Linked DNA regions of Anolis sagrei. The protein of the gene in region 3 purifies or fractionates together with the protein of the main gene of each other region. This does not show direct contact. Links are inferred from orthologs where the notes say so. Each region holds a gene or a part of one and is shown on either strand. Other genes may lie near its edges. The genes, in order: SRSF3, HNRNPUL2 and MEPCE.

The links.
Region 1: the proteins of MEPCE (region 3) and SRSF3 purify together in Homo sapiens (affinity purification with mass spectrometry; 3 studies listed by BioGRID and IntAct, with this or other methods). This does not show direct contact. The link is inferred for Anolis sagrei from reciprocal best matches to the Homo sapiens genes MEPCE and SRSF3.
Region 2: the proteins of MEPCE (region 3) and HNRNPUL2 purify together in Homo sapiens (affinity purification with mass spectrometry; 3 studies listed by BioGRID and IntAct, with this or other methods). This does not show direct contact. The link is inferred for Anolis sagrei from reciprocal best matches to the Homo sapiens genes MEPCE and HNRNPUL2.

What each region holds. Positions count from the first base shown.
Region 1 is NC_090024.1:187,252,521-187,262,258, forward strand, and holds the start of SRSF3 (serine/arginine-rich splicing factor 3), read right to left. Parts: upstream 4,734-9,738; 5' UTR 4,549-4,733; intron 1,827-4,548; 5' UTR 1,825-1,826; coding exon 1,619-1,824; intron 939-1,618; coding exon 804-938; intron 1-803. UniProt on the Homo sapiens protein: Splicing factor, which binds the consensus motif 5'-C[ACU][AU]C[ACU][AC]C-3' within pre-mRNA and promotes specific exons inclusion during alternative splicing.
Region 2 is NC_090032.1:12,990,904-13,001,334, forward strand, and holds the start of HNRNPUL2 (heterogeneous nuclear ribonucleoprotein U-like protein 2), read left to right. Parts: upstream 1-6,461; 5' UTR 6,462-6,529; coding exon 6,530-7,058; intron 7,059-10,431. Other genes in the region: TTC9C (tetratricopeptide repeat protein 9C), read right to left, coding at 2,267-2,464.
Region 3 is NC_090026.1:2,897,459-2,907,655, reverse strand, and holds the start of MEPCE (7SK snRNA methylphosphate capping enzyme), read right to left. Parts: upstream 4,786-10,197; 5' UTR 4,494-4,785; coding exon 2,970-4,493; intron 1-2,969. UniProt on the Homo sapiens protein: S-adenosyl-L-methionine-dependent methyltransferase that adds a methylphosphate cap at the 5'-end of 7SK snRNA (7SK RNA), leading to stabilize it.

The DNA.
Region 1 (9,738 bases), on a different chromosome or scaffold from region 3:
ACTCAGAGGGTGGTGAGAAGAGACATGATGGTGACTCTGTAACGGGTTCATTTTTTATTAACAGATGGACCAAAAAGCATAAAAAAATGAAAAACAAGCCATCAGTACAACCATCTATTAGCTAACAAATACTCCTATTGTGTTCTACAGTGAAGGGGACTATGGCTCACTCTATCTTGAATGGACTTCACCTGCAACAGGCTAAGATTTCTGCCCTTGCCAGAAACCTGGATTTAAATATTGTAGTGAATACTTAACATCCAACAAACCTGTCTGGATCATTGATTGCGTCACTAAGAAAAAAACCTTTATTTTGGAATTTAGTATTGTGGCACTACAATGGAGTCACATTTCAACTGCTTGTGACTCTCAAGTCTAGCTAAGCAACTGCTGATTGCTTTAGCATTTTTAAAACAGTTGCCTGCCTGGCATCATTTGTGATTACAGCAGAAAAATATCTTGAGTGGAAAAAAGCCAAACAGCTGAATGTAATGTTTATCAACAATGGAATAAAGAAAAGCAAAAATCAAGTTTGAGTACTGGGAAGAAAAAAGAAGCAACTAGAAGATGAACAGACTTCGGGAGGAAAGGTGATAATCCATGTTAGAGGGAGCTATCAACTGGTATAGATACCTAAGGATAAAAGTCAGTGTTCAACAGTGTATCCCTCTAACACATACTTAAGGAATTTAAAATTTGGTGATTCAATAGTGACATACATCCACAAGCCTTTTAAAAGCCTATTATGACAAAACGTTAATATTGCCAAAATCTCTGTTCAAGTTTTTTTTAATGCCAGATACCTGCGGCGAGGTGGAGGACTTCTCCTGCGATAGTCATCTCGAGGACGCCTACCCCACGAGGGAGGAGGACCACGGTTTCGACTACGTTTTTCACCATTAGACAGCTCCACTCTGACACGACAACCACAAAGTGTTCTGCGAAATAAATTAGCTATTGTTAAAGTCCAGAATTAATTCAGCCAAATGTGCCAACATCTAAAAAGAAGTCCAGTCTACTTCAGAACCAAAATATATTCCAAGCCTCCATTGTTACTGGAGATGATAGCAATAACGATTTTATTTCTTATCCACCTTTCCTCGTGATAGCTTAGTTTATTTGATTTATATCCTGCTTTTCTCCAAAAATGGTACCTCAAAAAGGCTTGCAGGGTAAGTTTAAAACAAAACATCTAAAATCTCTATGAATACAGAAGAATGAATGTTTGAACCAACATGACATTGGCCTTCAAAACGTAAAAGTATTTGAAGACTTAATCATTAGCTGTCGATACATTTATGAAAAGAGCTCCCAACCAGCATTTTAATTTAAAAGAACTGCAACTTCTAGAGGCTAAAGTACTGCACATTTGCTTTCCAAACAACTCCCCTTACCTATGCAATTAATTATAATTCACACTAATTTAATACATTCTTATACATTCTTATTACTTCCCATTCTAGGACATCAGTGTTATTTCAGTGTTTTTCAACAATGCTGAATTGTTTTAGTGTATTATACAATTTTTGCATAACATACAAATCAAGGCTTTAACCACAACTAACCTATATGCCCCCAGAACTTATCTCTAAGATGTAAAAAGCTGGGGGGTTTTTACCTCCCATCTAGCTCTCTCACGGCATCAGCTGCATCACGTGGGTCTTCAAATTCAACAAAAGCAAAGCCAGGGGGATTCCTAGCCACCCATACACTTCGCAGAGGTCCATAGTAGCCAAAAGCCCGTTCCAGTTCCGTTTTGTTGCCATTGTTCCCAAGGTTACCTACGTAAACCTTGCAGTCCAGCGGACACGAGTCACGATGCATCTCTACAACATGATCAAGTAAAAAATGTTGTCAAGCTTCCACTATTAGCACATACTAAATCCTGTGATGTTCACTCCAGTGGGGAAATGTAGCATGAATAAATCTGACTGTTCATTTCAGAATATGTGCCTTCAAGTTATGTTATAACAATAACTATTTTATTTTTATACCCTGCCATCATCTCCTCAAAGGGACTCAGGGCGACTCACATGCAGGACCAAGCCCAGAGACAACACGGTTTACCAACTAAAACATAATTATAAACATAGTAACGTATCACAACCCAATTAATCAATTAAAAATAGCAGGGTATAAAAACTTAATTGAAATTTATAGAAAGTAAACCTCGACAATCAGTGACCAGAAATACAGTGGAAATAATCAGAATTAGTGAGGGCTGGGCATGGGCTCGTGCAAAAAGCAGACTATAGTCCCCCCCCCCTCCAAAGTTAGTCTGCTGTTATAGTTGTTGCTAGTTATTATTGTTACGTATTGTCAAAGGCCTTCATGGTCGGAATCACTGGGTTGTTGTAAGTTTTTAGGGGCTATAGGGCCATATTCTAGAGACATTCTCTCCTGACGTTTCGCCTGCATCTATGGCAAGCATCCTCAGAAGTAGTGAGGATGTTGTTTTCGCTGTTTTATGTTGTCTAAATTGTTTTACTTTGTTTTTAATTGTATTCTGTCTTGGGACCCCGAGTCCCTTTGGGGAGATGGAGGCGGGGTTGAAAAATAAAGTTCTTCTATATAGGGCAAGCGCTGGGGGTAAAGTGCCGAGTACAACCTATCCCTCAATTAGGTCTGGGCATTCATGAACAGGGACCTAACCATCAAATGCACACTGACACATCCAGGTTGCAACTCCATGGATTACATACTGTTCTTCTGGGGGAAGGAATATTCAAGAGGTGGGTTGTCGTAGGTTTTTGGGGCTATATGGCCATGTTCTAGAGCAGTGGTTCTCAATCTGTGGGTCCTCAGATGTTTTGGCCTTCAACTCCCAGAAAACCTAACAGTTGGTAAACTGGCTGGGATTTCTGGGAGTTGTAGGCCAAAACACCTGGCGACCCACAGGTTGAGAACCACTGCTCTAGAGCTATTCTGTCCTGACGTTTTGCCTGCATCTATGGCAAGCATCCTCAGAGGTAGTGAGGTCTCACTACCTCTGAGGATGCTTGCCATAGATGCAGGTGAAATGTCAGGAGAGAATGCCTTTAGAACATATATAGCCCAAAAAAAACCTACAACCCAGTGATTCCGGCCATGAAAGCCTTCGACAATACATTCAAGAGGTGGTTTGCCAATTCATTCTCTGAAACATACCTTAAAGCAGTGGTCCTCAACATGTGGGTCCCCGGATGTTTTGGCCTTCAACTCCCAAAAATCTTAACTGCTAGTAAACTGGCTGGGATTCCTGGGAGTTGTAAGCCAAAACACCTGGCGACCCACAGGTTGAGAACCACTGAGCTAGATTCTCAGATACTCTGATATTACAGTGCTCACATATATTGCTGGGGAAAGAGAGGGACAAATATAGTTTGCAGTGAATGGCCTTTTGAAAATAAGGGAAGGGTCCTACTGTATGAAATACAGGATGTTTTTGCAGTTTAATAAACCTTCCCCATGTTTTATGATCGAGCAGTGATTCTTAACCTGTGGGTCCCCAGATGTTTTGGCCTTCAACTCCCAGAAATCTTAACTGCTGGTAAACTGGCTGGGATTTCTGGGAGTTGTAAGCCAAAACACCTGGGGACCCACAGGTTGCGAACCACTGTCTTAAAGCACTTAGTATTCATTGGAAGCCTCCCAACCAAGTGCTAACCAGGGTTTGTTTTTTTTTGTCGTGTCAGGAGTGACTCCTGGTGTGAGAGAATTGGCCGTCTGGAAGGACGTTGCCCAGGGGATGCCCGGATGACTTGATGTTTTCATCATCCCCGTGGGAGGCTTCTCTCATGTCCCCGTATGTTGAGCTGGAGCTGATAGAGGGAGCTCATCCGCCTCTCCTCGGATTCGAACCTGCGACCTGTCGGTCCTCAGTCCTGCCAGCACAGGGGTTTAACCCACTGCACCACCGGGGGCTCCACAGGGGTGACCCTGCTTAACGTCCAAAACAAGACAGGGCCAGAGGCCCCACTTTAAGGCAGGATGTTCATTATAAACACTCGTCAGCCTACAGATAAAGGCCCATCTACACATAATGCTGTTTAACTGCACCGAACGAGCCTACACTGGCCATATAATGCAGTTTCAAACAATGGCAATGTAGGTAGGGCCATAAAATGCTCTTTCCTGAAGCCGCTAATGTGAGTTCGGAAAGCCCAAATGCAGCAAATGAATAAATAGGGTGACTTTTCTGCATTTGAAATGTTTCACAAAAAAAAACAACTTGAAAATCCCCTGCGTCGATTGTCGAAAATAATGCTGCTCATCGGTGGGGAAATTACAGCTGGCCGGATGAGGAAAATAACGGCTTGTAATTAACGCCGCTTGGCGCCCAAGTAGGAAGAATTCGGCATCCATTTCTTCGACCTTCTCTTTTTAATGGTAGGTGCGTAAGAAAGAGCCCCCCGTGCCGAAGGAGCCAAGCCTTCCCTCCCACCCAGGGCCCCACCCCCCGACCGGGGCCTGGCGTTACTACTTCTGCTCCACAAAATGGCGGCGGCTCTTTGTCCGCCCTCAGGGCCGCGAGGCCTGCCACCCCGCCCGCGCCCCTCCCTCCCTCACCGGCTGCCGGGCCAGGAGCGCCAAGGGCTTCTCACGCTGCCTTTTCTTTTCCTGCCTTCGTCGCCTCTTTCTCTTTGTCCTTCGGCCCTTAAAGCGCGCTCGGCCTCGCCTTCTTTCCCGCCAAGGCCTGAGCTGTTAACCACCCTCGACTCTTTCGTACTGGACAAAATGGCGGACGGCAACGCCACGGTCTTGTATTTATATGCGTCCTGCCCATAGAGTCACGTGAAGAGCCTACCCACCAATGAGAAGCCGTGTCTTCAGTGATCGACATCTTCGAAACCCAGCTCCGCCCACACGAGCGGTAGCCCCTCCCCCTTTCTCCTGCCTCTGACTGCAGGCAAGGGCGCGGTTACCATGGCAATCTCTGTGAAGGGAGGCTTCGGCGAGGCCTACACAGAGGCGCGGGAGGGAGACAGATTTAGGCCTTTCTCTGGCACGCCATGTAGGGTGCATCTACACCAGGCATAGGCAAACTTGGGCCCTCCAGGGGGTTTGGACTTCAACTCCCATCATTCCTAACAGCCTCGGGTCCCTTCCTTTTCCCCCTCAGCCGCTTAAGCGGAGGGCCCAAGTTTGCCCATACCCGATACACTGTAGAACTAATGCACTTCGACTCCACTTTAACTGCTATAGCTCAATACTATGGAATTCTGGAAGTAGTAGTTTTACAAGGTCTTCAGCCTTCTCTGTCCCAGAGTGCTAGTGCCTCACCAAACTAAGCATCCCTAGATTCCACTGCATTGAGCCATAATAGTCAAAATGGTGGGAAACTGAATTAAATCTAATGTAGCTACACCTTGGGAGTGTCCACTCAAATCCTGTAGAGCTTAATTTTGAATAGACAAATTTAGAATCCAGCTATCGGGAGTCACAGTGAACTATATGCTAGAACCTGCTTCTGTGCTTTTAAATAGGAATAAAGGACATGTAGGATCTTGTGGGATTACATTTCCCATCATCCCTTATTTCCACTGGTTAGATCAGGGGTCCTCAAACCTTTTAAACAGAGGGCCAGGTCACAGTCCCTCAAAACTGTTGGAGGGCCGGATTATAATTTGGAAAAAATGAATGAATTCCTATGCACACTGCACATATCTTATTTGTAGTGCAAAAAATAATTAAAAACAATACAATAATTAAAAATGATGAACAATTTTAACAAATATAAACTTAATAGTATTTCAATGGGAAGTGTGGGCCTGCTTTTGGCTGATGAGATAGGATTGTTGTTGTTATTGTTCTGTGTTTTCAAGTAGTTTGAGACTTAGGTTGACCCTGAGCGAGGGCCGGGTAAATAACCTTGGAGGACCGTATCCTGCCCTGGGCCTTAGTTTGAGGAACCCTGGGTTAGATTATGATTTATGGGCAGGACACAATACAGTATCTTCACTGGAGATTTGAAAACATTAGACAGCTAAATGGATTTCTGCACGACGGCTTGACTAAATAACCATTAGTAACCATGGGAGCTTTTGCACAATCAAAACTTGTGCATCAGTTGCGCCCATACCTTGGGAAGTCAGGCTTGGCCACGGTGGTCCATGCTCTTGTTACATACTGAATATATTACTGCAACATGCTCTATGTGGAGTTGCCTTTGAAAACTGTTGGGAAGCTTCAATTAGTCCAAAGGTTGGCAGCCAGGTTTCTAACTGGAGGAGCGTTCAGGAAGCACACAACCCCCCTGTTATGCCAGCTCCACTGGCTGCCAGTCTGCTAACAAGCACAATTCAAAGTGCTGGCTTTGGCTAGCTTATAAAGCTAAACAGTTCCAGCCCAGCATATCTGTCCAAACACCTTGGAAGTTAAGATCATCTGGGGAGGCCCTGCTCTTGATCCCACCACCTTCACAAGCTCGATTGGTAGGGATGAGCGACAGGGCCATCTCAGTGATGGCTCCTCATCTGTGAACTCAATGAAATCAGGTCAGCTCAAGATGTGGCAGTGGGACCAAGCATTCAACCAGTAAATAGTATAATAAAGATAACGGACTAATGGAATTGACAACTGGACAATCCTTGGACTACAATCTTGATTACTGGATTTTAATTGATGTTTTAATAATTAATGTTTAATTGTATGGTTTTAATTGTATTTATTTATTTTTATATTCGTATGTATTGGCATCAAATAGCTGCCTGCTGTAAGGATGCTCCGAGTCCCCTTTTAAGGTGAGAAGAGCGGGATACACATCATGAGGAGACAGGAAAGCCTAGAGAAGACAATTATGCTGGGGAAAGTGGAAGCCAAAAGGAAGAGGGGCCGACCAAGGGCAAGATGGATGGATGGCATCCTTGAAGTGACTGGACTGACCTTGAGGGAGCTGGGGGTGGTAACGGCCGACAGGGAGCTCTGGCGTAGGCTGGTCCATGAGGTCACGAAGAGTCGGAGACGACTGAACGAATGAACAACGAGCGGGATACAAATATATGAAAAAATACATAAATAATAAATAGTATCCTTTCTCACTTTGGGAAGGCCCCACTTTCCCACACTTGCCTTTTGTTTCATTCTTATTTTTCAGTAGGCAAGTCTCTGTTTTGAAGTTAATTGTTTTGCAGGAAGCTGTACTTTAGTGGCATAATGCTATGGAATTGGGCATATGGTCTTGCAAGGTTTTTAGCCTTCTCAGCCAAAGAATGCTGGTGCCTCACCAAACTACAACTCCCATAAATTCATAGCACTGAGCCATGACCATTAGTGGTGTCAAACAGCATTAATTCTACAGTATAGGCACACCTCTAGTTTCTATTAAGCTAGAAAAGGCAGGAATGAACTTGCTTCAATTATCATTCTATGTGCTCTTTAAACTATTGCCATCCATGGTTGTGATGATGCCTAATTCAGCACTTTTGAAGCTATGTGATATGGCAGGCTGGCACTCTTTCAGTGTGTCGCTGGTATATATTTGCCCTATTGTTATAACATAGTCCCCTGGAAATGCACCACAGACCAGCACCTGATGGAATTATCTAAACACTGGATATTAGGTTGGTAAGAAATACAAGGCCAGGCTTTTTGTTGGTCGCTATTGCATTGGTAGAACTTTCTCCCAAATGAAGTCAGGCTACGTCCATTTTTGTTAAATTTCTTACATGCACTATGTAACATCTTGGGCTCTTACTATTGTGCTTAGTCTCTCTGTGTGTGCATGTTGAATGTGATGCTTCTGTTTCTAAATTATCATTTCATTGTACACTGCTTTGAAGGCTCTGGTAAGCAGAAAAAATAATTGACACTTAAGCAAGGAGGTAGACAAACATCTGGATTCATTTGCTTGCTGCATTTTATAATGCTTTTCAACTGGAGTGGGACACAAGGCAACTTCCAAAACTATTTAAAATATTTACATTAATATCAAAAAACAATTAAAAGCAGATTAAACATCATTAAAATACTTTAAAAAAACATATAAAACTCAAATGAATATACCTACCATGAAATAAACCTTGCAACTTACATTTGGAAACCACAGCTCTATACTAAGGAAACAACTTCTCAGTCTGACTCAGTTGCAAATACAGTTAATAGGGTACTTTGCTAATGTGCTAATGTGGTGCTTTGAAAGAGGAAGACTGCAAGTGGATTGATTCAATCAAGAAAGAGAATACTCTTGACTTGGCAAGAACTCATCAGAGCAGTTCCTGGGCGGGGCTTTTGGGGGTCTCTCATGCATATGATAGCCGTTAAGTTAAAGTCAAATATGAATTATAGCAACCCAATGCAAATTGCAGGTTGAATCCATGTTGTTGTTGTTTATTTGTTCAATCGCTTCTGACTCTTTGTGACCTCATTGACCAGCCCATGCCAGAGCTCCCTGTTGGTCATGGCTACCCCCAGCTTCTTCAAAGGCAAGCCAGTCACTTTGAGGATACCATTCATCCATCTTGTCCTTGGTCAGCCCCTCTTCCTTTTTCCTTCCATTTTCCCCAGCATCACTGTCTTCTCCAAGTTTTCCTGTCTTCTCATTATTTGGCCAAAGTACTTATTCTTTGCCTCTAAAATCCTTCTCTCCAGTAAATCCATATATGGATGGGCTACAATTGTTATTTGAGTCTTAGTGCTTTATTTTTCTTTTATTTATTAATTATTTATCACACTTTTCATCCAAATAAGACATAAAAATATAAATGATTTTTTTCTTTTATCTGTGGCTTGAGATGGGAATACAACATGGTTAAAACACACAGATAAAACACAATACTAGAAAGAGAGAGAGAGAGAGAGAGAGAGAACAAAATTAAAACACCAATACTAACCAAATGTAAAGTTACAATTTATAATTTAAAATTGACTGGCCTGCCAGAAGTATGGCATGTAAATAGTTTTCTATGCTGACAGAGTCATGTGAATTCAAATTTATTTCAAACTGTTCTCTATAATTGCTACTATAGATCTCAAATTAATTTTCAGACTTTTAAAAAGGATCCAATCACATAATGTACTTTTAGCAACTTAAAGATGTAGGTTCCTCATAGTACTTCACTAAATTGCCAGTTTTTGCATGAAACAAAAAGCCAAAACAAGGTCTTTATCACACCATCATGTTATACCACATTTTTCCATTTGAAAGTCACTTCAGCTATATTCACGATGATGATGATGATGATGATGATGATGATGATGATGATAATAATAATAATAGTTTTATTTATATGCCACCCCCTCTGCCTAGAAGGACTCAGGACAGCTTACAACAGAAAAAAACACAATACAGATGATAAACATACAACCAAATCAAACAATAAACTCACACAATAATTAAAATATAAACATATATATAAACATATAACATTAATAAAATTAAAAATGATAGCTGATTGTTGACACATAGTGTACACATAATACCCATGTCATTTTTGCAGTTTTATAATGTGATTTACATGTTTTCTTTTTCATCCACACCAACGCCATTATTACTATCCTGTTTGTTTCACCGCGTGTTAGAGTATTGGTTTATCTTTAAGCTGTTTTATTTTCTGAACCATGAAGTCTTCATTACCAACAATGCCATTTGTACCACCATTGGTTTCCCTTTAATTTTTTTAAAAATATTAAGGTATAATCACATGTCTATAGGATTTCATCAAAGCACTATAATAATACTGTGATGAAAATATGAAAATAATAATAATTAAAATAGTGTGGGTCCTTAATATCTGCTGGAATTTGGTTCAAGCACCCCCT
Region 2 (10,431 bases), on a different chromosome or scaffold from region 3:
CCACTAGGAGGGAATGCAACAGAAAGTATGGTTTGCTATGAGAAAAAAATAAGAATACTGTATATACTCGAGTATATGATTGCAACCTGGGGAAAGCTCCCCAATTGCAAAATGCAAGGTCCAAATACTGTATATACTCGAGTATAAGCCTAGTTTTTCAGCCCCTTTTTTAGGTTGAAAAATCTCCCCTTGGCTTATACTCGAGTCAAAGTTATTTATTATTTTACTCTGTTATTAGTATTATTTTATTACATTTATTATTTTACTTTATTATCAGTATTATTACATTTACATTATTTCACTCTATTATTATTTTATTACATTATTTTTTCTCTATTATTATTACATTTATTATTTTACTCTATTATTGGTATTATTACATTTACATTATTTTACTCTGTTATTATTATTATTACATTTATTATTTTACTTTATTATCAGTATTATTACATTTACATTATTTCACTCTATTATTATTTTATTACATTAATTTTTCTCTATTATTATTACATTTACATTATTTTACTCTGTTATTATTATTATTACATGTATTATATTACTTCATTATTGTTATTATTACATTTATTATTTTACTCTATATTATTGGAAGGATACGTAGCACATTTTCGCTGAAACAGGTTAGAATAATTTTTAATCAAAGTTGGTCAGGATTATTTTAAATTACAGTTTTATGTAAACAGTGAAAAACATTTAACCTACTGTTTCCTCAATTAGTGTAATTTTATTGGTATCTATTTTTATTTTGAAAGTTACCCGTCCGTAGCTGCTGCATTTCCCACCCTTGGCTTATACTCAGGTCAATAAGTTTTCCCAGTTTTTTGTTGCACAATCAGATACCTCGGCTTATATTTGGGTCGGTTTATGCTCAAGTATATACGGTAATTAAGATACAGTAATTTAAATCCATCCCAAAGTGGGAACAATTTAGTGGCTATGGGGAATTAAATGTTAATGCTGTCTTACCTTTACAATTACCTTTCTTGAACATGGATCCATCCATCCATGTTCAACATCTACACAAATGCCAGAAGGGACAGAGAGTTTCATCTATGCTGATGATCGTGTCATCACCGCTCAAGCAGGGAGCTTTGAGATGGTTGAACAGAAGCTCTCCGAAGCTCTAGGCGCTCTTACTGCCCATTACAGGGAAAACCAGCTGATCCCCAACCCATCTAAAACACAGACATGTGCCTTTCACCTTAAGAACAGACAAGCATCCCGAGCTCTGAGCATCACCTGGGAAGGAATCCCACTGGAGCATTGCAGCGCACCCAAATACCTGGGAGTCACTCTGGACCGTGCTCTTACCTACAAGAAGCACTGCCTGAACATCAAGCAAAAAGTGGGTGCTAGAAACAGTATCATATGAAAGCTGACTGGCACAACCTGGGGATCACAACCAGCCCTGAACCAGTGAAGACATCAGCCCTTGTGCTATGCTACTCTGTTGCTGAGTATGCATGCCCAGTGTGGAACACATCTCACCACACTAAAACAGTGGATGTGGCTCTTAATGAGACATGGGGTGTCTGCGCCCTACACCACTGGAGAAATTACACTGTTTAGCCGGTATTTCACCACCTGACATCCAAGGCAGTGATATCTCCAATTCATCCCTTGTTTGGGTATCAGCCAGCATGTCAACGACTTAAATCAAGAAATAGTTTTTTAAGATCTACAGAGACACTCGCTGGAACACCTCAGGAAGCGAGAGTCCAAAAGTGGCAGGCTCAAATCCAGAACCTCAACCAATGGCTGATACCAAATGAGAGACTCCCCCCTGGGCACACAGAAAACTGGGCGACTTGGAAGGCGCTGAACAGACTGCGCTCTGGCACCACGAGATGCAGAGCCAACCTTAAGAAATGGGGCTACAAAGTGAAATCCATGACATGCGAGACTGGAGAAGAGCAAACCACTGACCACCTGCTGCAATGCACCCTGAGCCCTGCCACATGCACAATGGAGGACCTTCTTGCGGCAACACCAGAGGTACTCCAAGTGGCCAGATACTGGTCAAAGGACATTTAATCAACTACCAAGCTTGCAAACTTTGTGTTTTGTCTGTTTGTTTGTTTTGTTAAAAATGTAATACAAATGTCTGGTTGCTGCTGACACGATAAATAAATAAAATTTGCCTTTCTCCTTTGTGAAAAGCAAACATTGTGTCAGCAGAAACTTAAGGCCAAACGGCATTTAAGTTTATGTGCATTGTGTATAAGATCATTCAGGGGGAGGCTCTTACCTTCTTCAGGAGGCTGCTCTGGAGCTCAGCTGCATTTAGGGAAGGAAGGCAGGCTGTCCTGGAAACAAGGGGCTGGACCATAGATTCCAGTTTCCGGCAGGCAACCCATAGACCTTTCCTTTTGTATGAGCTGGTCTGTGTGGCATGAAGGCACATGCGCATGGCTTCAAGGGCTCGTAGCAAACCCATGCATTTCATATCGTTTTCTATGGCAAAGAAAACCAAGAGTTGTTTTGTGACTCCCTTCCATTTTACCCAGCATAGAGGGAAAGTGAGTTTGCTGACTTAGTGAGGTTTATCTATGGACCAAGAGCTCCGCCCGATGGGAAACTGGTTAACTGCACATGGCTTCACTTGTTTAAGCACAATAGTAAAGCATGTATTGGGTGTCCCAAAAGTCACCTTATATATATGGTGACTTTTACACACACAAACTTGAATATTATATTATAGAATCCTACATTTGGATTTCCATCCAGTTCAACCCCTATTTGTCAGACAGTAGGACACATTCAAAGCCCTCCTGACAGATGGCCACGCAGCCTCGGAATCATAGAATACTAGTGTTGGAAGAGACCCCAAGGACCACCCAGTTCAACCCTGTATCATGCAGGAAAAGCACATTCAAAGCCTTCCTGACAGATGGCCATCCAGCCTTGGAATCATAGAATCCTAGTGTTGGAAGAGACCCCAAGGGCCATCCAGTTCAACCCTATGCAGAAAAAGCACATTCAAAGCCCTCCTGACAGATGGCCATCCGGCCTCGGAATCAGAATCCTAGTGTTGGAAGAGACCCCAAGTGAAGTTGAACATGACCCCGCCCCCATTAGAGATAGTAACTTATAGTTTTGCTAAGGGCAAGGACACCAGACTGGATAATAAGGGTTAAGCCTTAGTCAGTTTGGTGTGTATCATTTAATCAAGGCTTTATGCCCTATTTTCATATGTTTATAGCAGAAGGTAACCAATCTATTACTGAAAATCATGCCACAAAAGTATTTGACGTTTCCATCTGAGACACACCTGGGCTCCTGATGGTCCCCCATCTCACAAACAAGGGACTCTCTTTCCCCCTCATTGATATATTTCCCTTTATGGAGCTTCCTATGAATAATATGAACTATGGACACTGGGGGAGGATAGTTGGATTTAATCTCTGTATTATGATTTCTATATTTTTATATTTTCTCCTGTATTTCTATATTTCCCTTCATGAATCTGACCTTGCCCCTATCCTTGAGGAAAATGTATAAGGAAGCTGCCCTGCCTCTGGAAACAGCAATTAGTGATTGTGAAGACCCTTATCTTAGAACCTTACTTGCATGGAAAATACAAAGAATTATCTTTCCTGACTTCGGAGTCGGGCCATCAAGACGAAGTTCGCTTGGCAGACTTTTTAATCATATAACAATGGGGGGGGGGGGGGGGATGACCTTCGGAAAGCCCTTTTTCCCCCAACCAGTTTTTCTTTCAAACCTTTCCACTGAAGACATTCACCAGTCACCCCCTTTGTGACTGGTGAATGTCTGATCGCAAGATGAAAACTCGGATTAAGTAATCAATGCTTATCTCAGACCAATCTCAAGACAATAAGTTTGGCTTTTCTGGCAGGCCGATTCTGGACTCGTTAAGCCTCCTGGACATTAAAGCCATAATCCATTCAAGAATGCAGTATATTCCTTCGTCCCGACCCCCTCTCTTCTGATTCGCTGGAGCGCAGAGGCGGCAGGAGCCTCCTGATTGGCTCTGGCGCACCACGGAAGCCCTGTGATTGGCCCTGACGCATGGGGGATGGCCAAGCCTCCTCCCAGCTGTTTGCGCATCAGCCAAACCCCTTCGAGCTGGGCGAGAGGGGGGAGCGGGAGATTTGAACCACACAACTCTGTATTTTCTATAAAAATGGCATTTATTTGTGTAACTTCATGCTTAGCTTGGCGAATGATTGCTGCTTTGCATCCTTTTCAGCTGAATCGCTAAAATGGAGCCCCCGGTGGTGCAGTGGGTTAAACCCCTGTGCCTGCAGGACTGAAGACCGACAGGTCACAAGTTCGAATCCGGGGAGAGGCGGATGAGCTCCCTCTATTAGCTCCAGCTCCTCATGCGGGGACATGAGAGAAGCCTCCCACAAGGATGATAAAACATCAAAAAATCATCCAGGGGTCCCCTGGGCAACGTCCTTGCAGACGGCCAATTCTCTCACAACAGGAGCGGTTGCTCCTGACACGACAAAAAAAAAGAAAGAGCTGAATCACTAATAAACCTCAGTGGCACTTTCTTCAACTTTGGTGAGATTCTTTTTGGGAACTTAGGGAAAATCAATTGCTTAACATTAGGCTTCTCTTTGCTCACCAATGGTGGGGCCGCAGGGTCTCTCCTCCTGGGGTAGACCCTTCTAAAGTTCCTATCGACTTCACAAGGGCCATCCAGTTCAACCCTGTTTCATGCAGAAAAAGCGCATTTGAAGCCTTCCTCACAGATGGCCATCCAGCCTCGGAATCATAGAATCCTAGTGTTGGAAGAAACCATCCAGTTCAACTCGGATGGTCCAAAATGCAGTGGCCAGGCTGCTAGCGGGATCATCTATGAGATCCCATATTACACTTATTCTGCAACAACTGCATTGGCTACCAATAGAACATCGGATCTATTACAAGATTCTGATCCTGACATTTAGAGCTCAAAATGGCCAAGGACCTTTATATCTCAGGGACCGCCTCATTCCTTTTCCCCATCAGTGGTCACCTCGATCCACCCAGGAAAATCTCCTCTACATACCGGGCCCTAGGGAGGGACACCTGGAAGGCGTAGAGCTTTTTCGACCTATGCTCCAATTCTGTGGAACTCATTGCCTCCATACATGAGAGCAATGTCGGAGTTGCGACCTTTAGTAAAGGCGCTCAAGACTTGACTGTTCGGTTGTGCATTTAAGTAATCAGATCTAATATGCCAAATAGTCACTGTTGAATGTTTTTATGTTGAATGTTTTCATATTGTGTAAATGCTATTTTAGACTGTAAGTCGCTCGGAGCACCTTGGTGGAGAGCGACTAAGAAATAAAGTGAAGTGAAGTGAAGTGAACTCTGTTCCATGCAAGAAAAAGCACATTCAAAGCCCTCTTGACAGATAGCCATCCAGCCTCGGAATTATATAATCCTAGTGTTGGAAGATGACTAGGACATCTAGACATGGCAGTTTTCCTTCATTTCTTTTTCCATGGTGAATTGGATGTTTGGGTGTAAATTGGCCTTTATAGGCCAATGGATACTCCCCCAGAGACATCAGAAGAGCTGCAAGACCAAAAACAAGCCGCAAGAGAAAGAGGGCACCTGATGAACGAGGCTAGACAGGGGAGCTCCAGACAAGAAACAATCAGGGCCAGCTAATCACCTCCCAACAAAGGATTCCCCCAGGCAGTAAGAAGCCAGACTTTGAAAACTGCTAGGCCTTCAAATGCTAATCAAGCTGGCCAATTGCAACATTCTTTCTCCCACCCTGGACATTATTCCACAGATATATAAACTCCACTTGCCTAGTTTCCAACAGACCTCACAACCTCTGAGGATGCCTGGCATAGATGTGGGCGAATTTATTTATAAGCTGTATTAAGATGTCTATATTTTTGTCTTCTTGTTTAAATATTATATACTTTCCCGATTTAGATATAGTTTAAAAAAAAAAAAAAGCTTAATTGTCTATTCTGTTTCAATGAGAAGCCTGGGGGCCATGGCTCATTTTGAACCACAGCCGTTCAATGAGTCCTTCATTCCGATTGGTTCGCTTCAACCAATCAGATCTCTTGTAACAACTGCCCTAAGCGTCTTAGCTGCCCGCCAAAAGACAACAACGGCGCACGTAAACGCAGCTTTCCAGAAAGCGCAACACGCATGCGTACAAACAAAGAGCTAAGCGTCGAGGGGAATAGGGGCCAACAAGGGAGGCGACAGCGCATGCGTCGTGGTGGACTCTGAAAATCGCGCGCGCGTGATGGTACAGCGTTTTAAGCTTGGGGTTGGTGAAGGAGGAAAGCGTTGACGCGCCTGCGCAATAGAGCCCGGAGGAGGGTTTCGGGTGTGGGAGAAAGCAGGCCACGCATGCGCAAAGGCGCAGTGGGAGAATAGGCGAGAGAGGGCAACGCAGCGCAAGAAGCGGAAGCCGCGCAGGCGCAGTGCCGCGGGAAGAGCCGCGCAGGCGCATTAGCCCTCGGAGCTCGGCTCGCTTTCCCCCCTCCCTCGCTCCCTCCCCCCGCAGCGGAGCGCGCGCGCCATGGACGTGAAGCGGCTGAAGGTGACGGAGCTGCGGGCCGAGCTCGGGCGGCGGGGCCTGGACTCGCGCGGCCTCAAGGTGGAGCTGGCCCAGCGGCTCCAGGAAGCCTTGGACGCCGAGATGTTGGCCGCGGGCCCCGAAGAAGCCGGCGCCGAGGCCGGGGGAGCGGCGGCGGCGGCGGCCGGGCAAGGCCTCGGCAGGGCCCGCTTGGGAACGGGAGGCGGCGAAAATGACGACGACGACGAGGAGGAGGAGGAAGACGAGGACGAGGAGGAGGAGGAGGACGAGGAGGCGCTGCTGGCCGACGAGGAGGAGGCGGCGGCCGCGGCAGGAGGAGGCCCCGCACAGGCCTCGGCGCCGAGCGCGGAAGAGCAGGCCTCAGCCCAGCCTGGCAGTGGCGTCAACGGCGCCCAAGGGGCCTCCGAGGAAGGAGGAGCGGGGAGCAGCGGAGGCGGAGAGGAGGAGGAGGCCGAGGCCGCCGCCGCCGAAGAGGGCCGCGGCGAGGCCCAGCCCGGAGACAAGCCCCAGGGTAAGAAGGCCCAACGCCCGCCCGCCGCGCTTCCCCATCCTCCTGACCAGGCCTCCTCTTTGCCCGCCACGCTATTGTTTTCCATCCCCACCTCCCTACCTTATATCTTTGTGTCTATATATATATCTTAAACAGTTATTTGGTGTGTGTGTGTGTACAAAATAATAATGTTATATATATAACAACATTGTATTGTCGAAGGCTTTCATGGCTGGAATCACTCAGTTCTTGTGGGTTTTTTCGGGCTATATGGCCATGTTCTAGAGAACACAGAAGTGCTGGACCACTCTCACAACCACCATGTCAGACTACACAGAGAAGCCATTGAAATCCACAAACATGTGGACAATTGCAACAGAAAGGAGGAAACCATGAAAATGAACAAGATCTGGCTACCAGTATTAAAAAACTCTAAAATTGCAACAGCAGAGAGAAAAACAGGCAGGGACATCTAATCACCTTTCAAGAAGAGTTTGCTCCAGGCACAGTCAAGCCCATTGTATGCTAATCAAGGTGGTCAGTTGAAAGATTCACACCTAGTCCAATTTACAAAAGCCCTTTGTCTCACCCTGGTCATTCCACAGATATATAAACCCCTTTTTTCCCAGTTCCAACAGACCTCACCTCTGAGGATGCTTGCCATAGATGCAGGCGAAACGTCAGGAGAAATACCTCTAGAACAGGAGTCCTCAAACTTTTTAAACAGAGGGCCAGGTCACAGTCCCTCAAATTGTTGGAGGGCCGGATTATAATTTGAAAAAAGCATGAATGAATTTCTAGGCACACTGCACATACCTTATTTGTAGTGCAAAAAACACTTAAAAATACAATAATTAAAATGAAGAGCAATTTTAACAACTATATATTTATTAGTAGTATGGGAAGTATGGAGCTGCTTTTGGCTGATGAGATAGGAGTGTTGTCGTTGTTGTGTACTTTCAAGTCATTTCAGACTTAGGTTGGCCCTGAGCGAGGGCCGGGTAAATGACCTTGGAGGGCCCCCAGGCCTTACTTTGAGGACCCCTGCTCTAGAACATAGCCATATAGCCCAAAAAAACCCGCATAACAACATTATTTGGTATGTGGATATTTATTTATTTAAGGCATTTCTATGCCGCCCTTCTCATCCTGAACGGGACTCAGAGCGACTTACAATATCTATTTTCATACAGTATATTATATTATTAGCATAGTACAATATCAGTATACATTACTATATTGCACTATACAATTATATTGTAATATTATTAGTAATATTACATGTAATGTAAATATATAATTATAATTATAATATTGAATTATTATTAGTATTGTATTGTATTACATTATAATATTATAAATATTATATGTATATACAATATACTATATTATATTATTAGTAAAGACAAGATGGAAATGTCTTCTGTATATATATACATTAGTTATTATATAATGTATAATAGTATAATAAATGTATTATTATTATTATTATATAATAATACTAGCCGTCCCCTGCCACGCGTTGCTGTGGCCCAGTCTGCTGATCTGGAAAAGAAAAAATATATATAACCCACTGATTCCTCAATTAATGTCATTTGATTGGTATATATTTTTATTTTGCAATTTACCAATAGCTGCTGCATTTCCCACTCTCGGCTTATATTCAAGTCAATCCGTTTTCTCAGTTTTTTGTCGTAAAATTAGCCTTGGCTTATATCCGGGTCGGCTTATACTCAAGTATATATGGTAATGCAAAAGTGTTGGTTTCTAATCTATGTAATTTCTTGATGCTTGTCGGTATATACTCGAGTATAAGCCTAGTTTTTCAGTCCTTTTTTTAGGCTGGAAAAGTCCCCCTCGGCTTAAACTCGAGCCAAGGTTATTTATTATTTTACTTTTATTATTATTATTACTACTATTACTATTATTGTTATTTTATTCTATTTATTATTATTACATTTATCATTTTACTCTATTATTATACATATATTATTTTACTGTATAATTGTTGTTATTGCTACATTCATTATTTTACTCTTTTTATTGTTATTATTACATTTCTTATGTTACTCTCTATTATTATTGGAAGGATACAAAAGCACATTTACATTGAAGAAGGTAAATAATCATTTAATCAGGGTTGGACAGACTTATCTTAAATTACAATTTTTGTAAATATTCAAAAATATATAACCCACTGATTCCTCAATTAATGTAATTTGATTGCTATATATTTTTATTTTGCAATTTACCAATAGCTGCTGCATTTCCCACTCTCGGCTTATATTCGAGTCAATCCGTTTTCTCAGTTTTTTGTCGTAAAATTAGGTGCCTCGGCTTATATTCGGGTCGGCTTATACTCAAGTATATATGGTAATGCAAAAGTGTTGGTTTCTAATCATTGTAGTTTCTTGATGCTTGTCGGTCAACAGTATTACTTGTTTCTTGGTCAATGTTGATGTAGAGATTGTCTGGGTTGCCTACTCTGGAACATGGAACATATTGTCCTTTAGGGGTCCCTTTCAAATCTAGGATACAACATCTTTCATATACCTGTATATATGTGTGTGTGTGTGTGAATCATTTCTATCTATACCTATGGTAGATGGTTCTTTGTCAAGAAGGTTTTGGTTATTTTTTCTTGCCCCGTGAAGGGAGTTGGATTGGATGGCCATAAGGAACCATTTCTCAACCTGGGTGTTGGGTCCCCTGCAGAGGTCATAAAAGGGTGTTAGAGGGGTCACCACAGACCATCAGAAAACACAGTTTTTTTTGTTGGTCATGGGAGTTCTGTGTGGAAAGTTTGGCCCAATTCTAAGATTGGTGGGGTTTAGAATGCTCTTTGATTGTAGGTGAACTATAAATCCCAGCAACTACTACTCCCAAATGTCAAGGTCTATTCCCCCCAAACTCCATCTGTGTTCGTATTTGGGCATATGGAGTATTCGTGGCAAGTTTGGTCCAGATCCATCATTGTTTGAGTCCACTGTGATCTCTGGATGTAGGTGAACTACAACTCCAAAACTAAAGGGCACTGCCTACCAAACCCTTCTAGTATTTTCTGTTGGTCATGGGAGTTCTGTGTGCCAAGTTTGGTTCAATTCCATCGTTGGTGGGGTTCAGAATGGTCTTTGATTGTATGTGAACTATAAATCCTGGCAACTACAACTCCCAAATGACTTTTTTTTTGAGTGAAGGACATACACTGGGTTGTTAGGTGTCTGGTGTCCAAATTTGGTGTCAATTCGTCCAGTAGTTTTTGAGTTCGGTTAATCCCACAAATGAACATTACATTTTTATATCTATCTATCTATCTATATCTTAAACAGTTATTTGGGGTGTGTGTGTATATATATGTATATTACAACAACATTATTATTATATTGTATGTGTA
Region 3 (10,197 bases):
GGTTTTGTGCATGCATTGTAACGTATTTTTTTGTTTTTTTGGCTTTTTAAGTGTCTTCTGCTGTGTTTTTCAGTGTTTTTATGAGTGATGGTCATTTGTTGAACTGACCAGTGTCTTGTGTCCAAATTTGGTGACAATTCGTCCAGTGGTTTTTGAGTTATGTTCATCCCACAAACGAACATTACATTTTATTTATATATAGACTAGCCGTCCTCTGCCACGCGTTGCTGTGGCCCAGTCTGTGTATATATTTTGTGTGTGTATATATGTGTGTATATGTATATATATATGTGTGTGTTTGCATATATATAGATATAGAAATATTGATGGGTATATATTGTATATATATGTGTGTATATATTTGTGTATTTCTGTGTTTATATGTGTATATATATATTGAGTATATGTGTGGTTGCGTATATGTATGTGTGTATGTATGTCTATATGTGTATGTGTGCATGTGTATATATATTTGTGTATTTCTGTGTTTATATGTGTATATGCATATTAAGTATGTGTGGTTGTGTATATGTATGTGTGTATGTATGTCTATATGTGTATGTGTACATGTGTATATATATTTGTGTATTTCTGTGTTTATATGTGTATATGTATATTGAGTATATGTGTGGTTGTGTATATGTACGTGTGTATGTATGTCTATATGTGTATGTGTGCACGTGTATATATATTTGTGTATTTCTGTGTTTATATGTGTATATGCATATTAAGTATATGTGTGGTTGTGTATATATGTGTGTATGTATGTCTATATGTGTATGTGTACATGTGTATATATATTTGTGTATTTCTGTGTTTATATGTGTATATGTATATTGAGTATATGTGTATGTGTACATGTATGTGTGCATGTGTATGTATGTGTATATTTGTCTGTGCTTGTGTATGTATGTGTGCATGTGTATATGTATATGAGTGTATGTGTACATGTATATAATTTATTTTGGGAAGTTTAAGTCTGTTCTGCTGGGGGTTTTTTTGTGTGTTTTTATGAGTGATGATCACTCGTTGGCCTGATAGGTGTCTTGTGTCCAAATTTGGTGTCAATTCATCCAGTGGTTTTTGAGTTCTGTTAACCCCACAAACGAACATTACATTTTTATTTATATAGATTGCTTCAAAAAACAACTGAAGACCTACTTCTGCTCACTAGCGTATGGAGAGGGGGAGCATTAAATACTAAGAGATCATTACTGGGCCCTGATTGAGAATTATTTTGCATCTCCTACTCCACGCTAGCCCAATAACCACCGCTTGACTGCACAACCAACCCACACCTCTAGTTGGCTGTTGTAAATTAATATGGATGTTTGCTTAGATTTTATGCTATAATTTTTCCACTACATCCAGTTTAATTTATTGATGTTAGACTTAATTTATTGATGTTAGGTTTTAATGCTTTTTTCATATGTGGGCTTCTCTGGGATTATCTCAGTATTCGTTTGTTTTATGCAGGCATTGAATGTTTGCCATTGTATGTTGGAATCTGCCCAGTCCCCTTGGGGAGATAGGGTGAAATAAAATTAAATTTATTATTATTATTATATTTTGTATTATATATTTTGTATTATTGTAATGTTCTGTATTTTGATTTTATTATCATTATTATTAATTATTATGTAGATGTTAGTGTTATCATTATGCGGTGGAGGCTCCTTCTATGGAGGCTTTTAAACAGAGGCTGGATGACCATCTGTCGGGGGTGCTTTGAACGTGATTTTCCTGCTTCTTGGCAGAATGGGATTGGACTGGATGGCCCACGAGGTCTCTTCCAACTCTAGGATTGTATTTATTTAACCCTGCTTTGGATGTCATTACCTGGGGAGATTAGGCTAGCTCCCACCTTGTCAGCTTATAGGAAAGGCTTGAAAACCTGGCTGTTCTGCCTTGCTTTTGATGAATGAACAATAATCCCCACACTACGACAGTCCCAGCACATACCTGTCCTCTTGATGCACCTTGCCTTATTCCTAGCGAGTAATTAAGCCCCATAGCTTGTCCCTCCTGTACCTCCCAGTGGTTAAATTGCTTCGGTTATCCTTTCCTATGTCCCTTGATTTTATCTTCGCACCTTGGCCCTTATTCCTAATCTTATATTACTTTATACCCAATATGTTAATTTCTTTTCTTGTTTGTATGTTATTGTTTTATTGCTGTACTTTATTTTAATTTTAATTATTATTAGCTGTCCCCTGCCACATGTTGCTGTGGCCCAGTCTATGTAGATGTGTTTTTAATGTGCATGTTTGTGTGTATGTGTGTTTGCATATATATGTGTGTGTGTGTGTGGTTTTAAGCATGTGTTGTAATGTATTTTTTGTTATTTGTAATGTATTTTTTGTCTTCTGCTGTGCTTTTAATGAGGGTCACTCGTTGCCCTGATGGGTGTATTGTGTCCAAATTTGGTGTCAATTCATCCAGTGGTTTTTGAGTTATGTTAATCCCACAAAACATACATTAAAATTTTATTTATATAGATTTGCTGTATGTATCTTATTTGTTTACTGTATTCGTTGGGCTTGGCCTGTTAGCCACCCCGAGTCCCTGAGGGGAGATGGTAGTGGGGTATAAATAAAGTTTAATAATAATAATAATAACCCATTCAGATTAATCCCTTATCCCTAATTTTATTTTACTTTATACCCAGTGTTATTTCCCTTTTGTTGTTTATTTATATATTTACCACATTTATATACTGCCCCTCTTAGCCCAGAGGCGACTTGGAGCGTGTTATTGTTTGTATGTTATTGTTTTATTGCTGAACTTCAATTTTAATTATTATTTGCTGTACATATCTTATTTGTTTACTGTATTCATTGGGCTTGGCCTCATGTTAGCCACCCCGAGTCCCCGAGGGGAGATGGTGGCGGGGTATAAATGAAGTTTAATAATAATAATAATAATAATAATAACCACCCACTATGCCATCAGGAGCCTCCTTGCCTTACCTTGATGAAAATGACATTGTTGGGGAACACAGAGGCATCTGTCCCTTCCTGAGGGACCCTCGGAGCGGCGATGGGGCCCCGGCTGGCCATCAGAGAGGCAGGGAAGGTCTTTCTGGCCGCGGTGCTGCTCGGACCCTCGTCGCTCTCCTGCTTCTGCTGGTGGAGCTCCTCGGAGAGGTAGTGCCGGATGTTTTGCCGGGCCGAGTGGATGAGGTGCCCGTCAATGTCCAGGCCCACCATGCGGGCAGGCCCCCACTTCTTGGCCACGCTCAGGGTGAAGTGTCCCACGTTGCAGCCCACGTCCAGCACCTCTTTACCTTGGAACCACTCCGGCTTCATCACCCGCAGCCGGGCATCCTCGCAGTCGGGGTTGCGGTATCCGTAGTACTTGCAGTAGTTGCCGTACTGGAACTTGTGCCGGGGCTGTCGGCGGGCGGACGCGGGGGGCGCGTGGCGGGAACGGGGGGCACTGCGGGCCCTCTCTGGGCTGCTCCGGGAAGGCTGTTCCAACGCCGAGGAAGGCCCCTGATGCCGCGCGGCCGCCACTTCGGATTTGCTACAAGTCCTGCGCCGCTTGCGGTGGTGCCGGCTCCCTGTGCTGGCGGACGATGCCACAGAGACGCAGGAGGGGGTGACGCCCCCTCCGGCGGAAACCCCTTGGTGGCTGGGCTGGGGCTCCCCATGTCCGGCGGGAAGCAGCGGCGAGACCACCTCATCCCTGCAGTTGATGACGGTGTTGAGTTCGTACGGCTGGGGGGTGGCCCCATTGCAGGGCTTGGACTTCTGGCAGGAAGCCGAGGCGGTGGCGGCGGGCGTCGCGGGAGCCTTGGTCCCCGCTCCGTCGGTGCTGCCCCCCCTCTGCGCCCCTCGGTGCCGGTGCCGCTTGCGTTTGGCGGGCGAAGCCAAGACGGGAGGGTCGTCCTGGGCGTTGTTGAGACTCAACGGGTCGGTGATATCCTTGGGGATGAGGATCTCCACGGGGTCGCGGCCTTTGGCCGGCAGCGGCGACGACTTGGGGGTCTCGGCGTTGAGTGCCTGGTTGACCTCCTCGTCCAGGAGGCTGTTGAGGTTGAGCGGGTCGAAGATGTTCCCGCCGAGGAGGAACTCCGACGGGAGGACCGGGTCGCACTCGGAGTTGACCCTCCGGCGGCGCTTGAAAGCGGGGTGCTTGAAACCGCCTCCTCCACCGACATTGCAGCTGTTACGCCTCTTGTTGGGCCTCTGTTGTGGTTGTTGTTGTGGTTGTGGAGGGGCCTGGAAGCCATTGCGAGGCTTGTGGAGCTCAGCTAGGCCGTCTCCCTCCTCCACAGAGGCCTCCACTCCTCGTTGGGGGTCTGTGAGGCCTCCATCCCCACCTCCACGGCTCCCTTGGGCCTTCCCCGCCATGGGGCCTCCTTTCCCGGCTGCATTTCTAGGCAAGTCCCCGGCTCCACAGGTGGTAGGCCCCTTCGGAGGGGGTTTAGGCAACGGGGGAGGCGGGGCCGGGACTCGGAAGGCGTCCTTGTCGGCCGCCATCTCGATCATCCCTCAGGCCAGCCGGGGAAGAGGAGAGAAGCAGCCTTGTTCCTCTCCTCAGCCCGCCTCACGTTGTTTCTGCCTCAGACTCCTTCTGCGCGTGCGCAGTACGCTCCCTCGGCTGCTCCCTTCCTTTGCTCTCTCCCGCGCAGGCGCACTCCGCGATCAAGCCCAGCCTCCGTCGCGCAGGCGCACAAAACACCCACAACGCCCCGCCCTCTTGATCAGCGCATGCGCAGCCCAGCCAGCGCTCCGTCCAAGGAAGAACGCTTCGCGCCTCCCGATTTCCTGCGATGGCACGCTCCCCCCTCAGCGCTGGGTTTATATACCTTGTGGGCGTGGCTAATATACACCACGCCCCCTCGGTTCGATGACAACCAATCAGAGCCCGGCGCCCGCTCGAGCCGCGTGTATCGGAAACCAATCAGAACCAATTCCTCACAAGGCGCCCCTCCTTTTCTTCCTCCCGCCTCCTGATTTAGATTTCAACCAATAGGAAAGCAGAAGGGGAGCTCCTCCATCCAATCAAAGCTCAGCACTCGGATCTAATTTTTCTCCTCAGAGTGGGTGAGGGTCCTTCTCGGTATAGGGTTGTCTAACTCATACGCCTGCATGAGCGTTATTTCGAGCTTTAAAGTCGCAAAGGAAAGGCGAAGTAGATATATTTCCCCGCATTGGATGTGTTAAATAATACACTTTTCGTCAACTGCCAAAAATCTGCCTCGAAGAACAAGCCGGTTTTTTTTCAGGCATTGGCTTAGTCTCCTAAAAAAAGAGGAAAACAGCCTCACTTGCCAAAGATATAATCTATTTTAATATAATTTAAGTAAATCCGCCCTTGGAACCAATACTTTCACATTCTTTGTGCAAAGAAGAATTTTAATCATTTTTTGTTTTTCTTTTTAAAAGGGTTTCCCAATATGGACAGTTGTCAAAAGATCACATGGCTCCACTTGCCTGAAACGGATGCCTGCAAAGCACTCTGGGAACTGTAGTTTTGTTCCAGGCCCCCCAGTGGCGCATGCGCCGAATGTCGCAGCCGCCACTGCTTCTTACCAACTGCGCAGGCGCGGGAGGTGGGTAAACAAACAGACCCCAGGACACGCGGGGAAAGGGAGAGGAACGTGGGAAAGGGCGGCACGGGATTCATAGAGGGCCAATGTGTTTATTGTTACACTGATGGGGGAGGTTAGGCTCAAAGGCGAGTTGTAAATCTATATATCTAATATATATAGATCTATGCTGATGATTGTGCCATCACCGCTCAAGCAGGGAGCTTTGAGATGGTAGAACAGAAGCTCTCCGAAGCTCTAGTTCAGGCATGGGCAAACTTGGGCCCTCCAGGTGTTTTGGACTCCCAACTCCCACAATTCCTAACAACCGATAGGCTGTTAGGAATTGTGGGAGTTGGGAGTCCAAAACACCTGGAGGGCCCAAGTTTGCCCATGCCTGCTCTAGATGCTCTTACTGCCTATTACAGGGGAAACCAGCTGATCCCCAACCCATCTAAAACACAGACATGTGCCTTTCACCTTAAGAACAGACAAGCATCCCGAGCTCTGAGGATTATTACCTGGGAAGGAATTCCACTGGAGCATTGCAGGGCACCCAAATACCTGGGAGTCGCTCTGGACTGTGCCCTGACCTACAAGAAGCACTGCCTGAACATCAAGCAAAAAGTGGGTGCTAGAAACAATATCATACGAAAGCTGACTGGCACAACCTGGGGATCACAACCAGACACAGTGAAGACATCTGCCCTTGCGCAGTGCTACTCTGCTGCTGAGTACGCATGCCCAGTGTGGAACACATCTCACCACGCTAAAACAGTGTTCCTAATGTTCCATCTGAACATTAGGAAGAACTTCCTGACTGTGAGAGCCGTTCAGCAGTGGAACTCTCTGCCCCGGAGTGTGGTGGAGGCTCCTTCTTTGGAAGCTTTTAAGCAGAGGCTGGATGGCCATTTGTCAGGGGTGATTTGAATGCAATATTCCTGCTTCTTGGCAGAATGGGGTTGGACTGGATGGCCCATGAGGTCTCTTCCAACTCTTTGATTCTATGATTCTATGTGGCTCTTAATGACACATGCCACATTATCACGGGGTGTCTGTGCCCCACACCACTGGAGAAATTACACTGCTTCACTGGTATCGCACCACCTGACATCCGCCGGGAAGTAGCAGCCAATAGTGAAAGGACCAAGGCAGAGACATCTCCAGCTCATCCTCTGTTTGGGTATCATCCAGCACATCAACGACTTAAATCAAGAAATAGTATTCTAAGATCTACAGGGACACTCTCTGGAACACCTCAGCAAGCGGGAGTCCAAAAGTGGCAGGCTCAAACCCAGAACCTCAACCAATGGCTGATACCAAATGAGAGACTCCCCGCTGGGCACACAGAAGACTTGGAAGGTGCTGAACAGACTGCGCTCTGGCACCACGAGATGCAGAGCCAATCTTAAGAAATGGGGCCACAAAGTGGAATCCACGACATGCGAGTGGGGAGAAGAGCAAACCACTGACCACCTGCTGCAATGCAACCTGAGCCCTGCCACATGCACAAGGGAGGACCTTCTTGCGGCAACACCTGAGGCACTCCAAGTGGCCAGATACGTGTCACAGGACATTTTGCAGACGACACCAAATTGGGAGAGCCAAGACTCCAGAGGACATGAGCAGGATTTCAAACGATCTTGACAGATTAGAGAGATGAATGGCCAAAATTAACAAAATGAAGTTCAACAGTGACAAATGCAAGATACTCCACTTTGGCAGGAAAAACAAAATGCAAAGATACAGAATGGGGGACAGTGCCTGGCTCGAGAGCAGTACGTGTGAAAAAGATCTTGGAGTCCTCGTGGACAACAAGTTAAACATGAGCCAGGAATGTGATGTGGCGGCAAAAAAAGCCAATGGGATTTTGGCCTCAGGCATCAATAGGAGCCTAGTGTCTAGATCTAGGGAAGTCATGCTCCCCATGCTCTATTCCGCTTTGGTTAGACCACTTTACCTGGAATATTGTGTCCAATTCTGGGCACCACAATTGAAGGGAGATATTGACAAGCTGGAATGTGTCCAGAGGAAGGCGACTAAAATGATCAAGGGTCTGGAGAACAAGCCCTATGAGAAGCGGCTTAAGGAGCTGGGCATGTTTAGCCTGAAGAAGAGAAGGCTGAGAGGAGATATGATAGCCATGGATAAATATGTGAGAGGAAGCCACAGGGAGGAGGAGGGTGCAAGCTTGTTCTCTGCTTCCTTGGAGACTAGGATGCAATGGAGGTCAGCTGTGACCAGCAGTGCTGCAGAATTTGAGGAGGCACGAGTGGAGGGTGAAAGAGAGAAACGTGCCAGGAGGAAGGCGCGTCAAGCCAACCCCGGCCGAGACCGCCTTCCACCTGGAAACCAATGCCCTCACTGCGGAAGAAGATGCAGAGCAAGAATAGGGCTCCACAGCCACATACGGACCCACAGGGAAATCCATAATGGAAGACCATCTTACTCGTCCAACGAGGGATCGCCTAAGTAAGTAAGTAAGTAAGTAAGGAGCCATGGCTTCAAACTACAAGAGAGGAGATTCCATCTGAACATGAGGAAGAACTTCCTAACTGTGAAGAGCCGTTCAGCAGTGGAACTCTCTGCCCCAGAGTGTGGTGGAGGCTCCTTCTTTGGAAGCTTTTAAACAGAGGCTGGATGGCCATCTGTCAGGGGTGCTTTGAATGCAATATTCCTGCTTCTTGGCAGAACGGGGTTGGACTGGATGGCCCATGAGGTCTCTTCGAATTCTTGGATTCTAGGATTCTATGACATTTAGTATAATGCCAAGTTTTCAAACTTTCTTTGTGGGTTTTTATACATTATAACTCTATTCTCAATTTGCTTCTGACACAATAAATAAATAACTTGGCAAATAGTTGCAGGTATCTTTTTGTACTGGTGGTATCAGGTATGAAGATGTGAGAATTATGTTGTGCCCCACAGATGCTTATAAATACACTACAAATACAGCAACAGAGCAGGCTAAAGCCAGGGGGGAAAAATAGAAAGCTTGTTTTCTGCTGCCCTGGAAACCAGGACTCAGCGTAATGGGTTCAAATTACAGGAAAGGCGATTCCACCTAAACTGTATTAGGAAGAACTTCTTGACCGTAAGGAGAGCTGTTCAGCAGTGGAACTCTCTGCCTCGGAGTTTGGTGGAAGCTCCTTCCTTGGAAGGTTCTAAACAGGCTCAATGGCTATCTGTCAGGGGTGCTTTTATTGTGCTTTTCCTGTATAACAGAATGAAGTTGGACTAGATGGCCCATGGGGTGTTGCCCCTTGCAATTGTAGAGAAAGGAGAAGCAATAGCTGTGGGTCGGAGTGCCAGTATTCTTCCCCTGGGACTCTCTGAAAACATCCACAAAGAGATTACAGGAATGACCCACCCTGGTCATTCCACAGATATATAAAACCCTTTCCCCTCGTTCCAACAGACCTCACTACCTCTGAGGATGCTTGCCGGCTGGCGGGGACGAGAGATAGGGCCTTCTCAGTGGTGGCTCCTCGGCTGTGGAACACCCTTCCCGTGGACATCAGGCTAGCTCCCTCCCTGTTGATATTCCGCAGGAAGTTAAAGACCTGGCTGTTTAAGAAGGCATTTGGACAAGAAGTGCAATGATTGGTAATTTGACCATAGGAATGGAACAACGGAAATGATATCGGATTGTGGGTTTGACGATGAGACGACTCGGAATGGCTTTTGTAGTAATGTTGATGTTTTGATGAGATGTTTTTTGATAATGTGGATTATTTTACACTATGTTTTGTATTTTGCACCTGTTTTTCTATGTTGTACACCGCAGTGAGTCGCCCTTGGGCTGAGAATTGCGGTATATAAGCGAAGTAAATAAATAAATAAATAAATAAATAAATGCAGGCGAAACGTCAGGAGAGAATGCCTCTAGAACATGGCCATATAGCCCGAAAAAACCTACAACAACCCAGATTACAGGAAGTTTGGTTAAAAGGAAACCATTACTGATGTGAAAATGCACAGGAAGTGGCTGCCATTTATCTACAAGGGCGAATTGCGGTTTCCATTGCCTTCCAAGAGAAGCCTTATACCTTTTTTTGGTCAGACAAAGGCCAGTCTGGAGAGGTCCAAGGACACAAAGACAGCCTTGGAGGGCCAGGTGCAGCCCAAGGCCACCCACGGGTCCTTCCTCCCACTCCAATACCTTTTGAGATATTCTAGGTGGCACTAAGCTCTATAGCCAGCATACATAATGGTAAGGAATGCTGAGAGACTTGGGGGGGGGGGGGGGGGGTTCGCGAGGGTCACCAAAGACCATCAAAAACACAGTATTTTCTATTGGTCATGGGGGTTGTGTGGGAGGTTTGGCCCAATTCTATCATTGGTGGGGTTCAAGGGGCTCTTTGATTGTATAAATCCCAGCAACTACAACTCCCAAATGTCAAGGTCTATTTTCCCCAAACTCCACCAGTGTTCACTTTTGGACATATTGAGTATTTGTGCCCAGTTTGGTCCAGATCCATCACTGTTTGAGTCCTCAGTGCTCTCTGGATGTAGGTGAACTACAACTCCAAAACTCAAGGTCAATGCCCACCAAACCCTTCCAGTATTTTCTATTGGCCATGGGAGTCCTGTGTGGCAAGTTTGGTTCAATTCCATCGTTGGTGGTGTTCAGAATGCCCTTTGATTATAGGTGAACTATA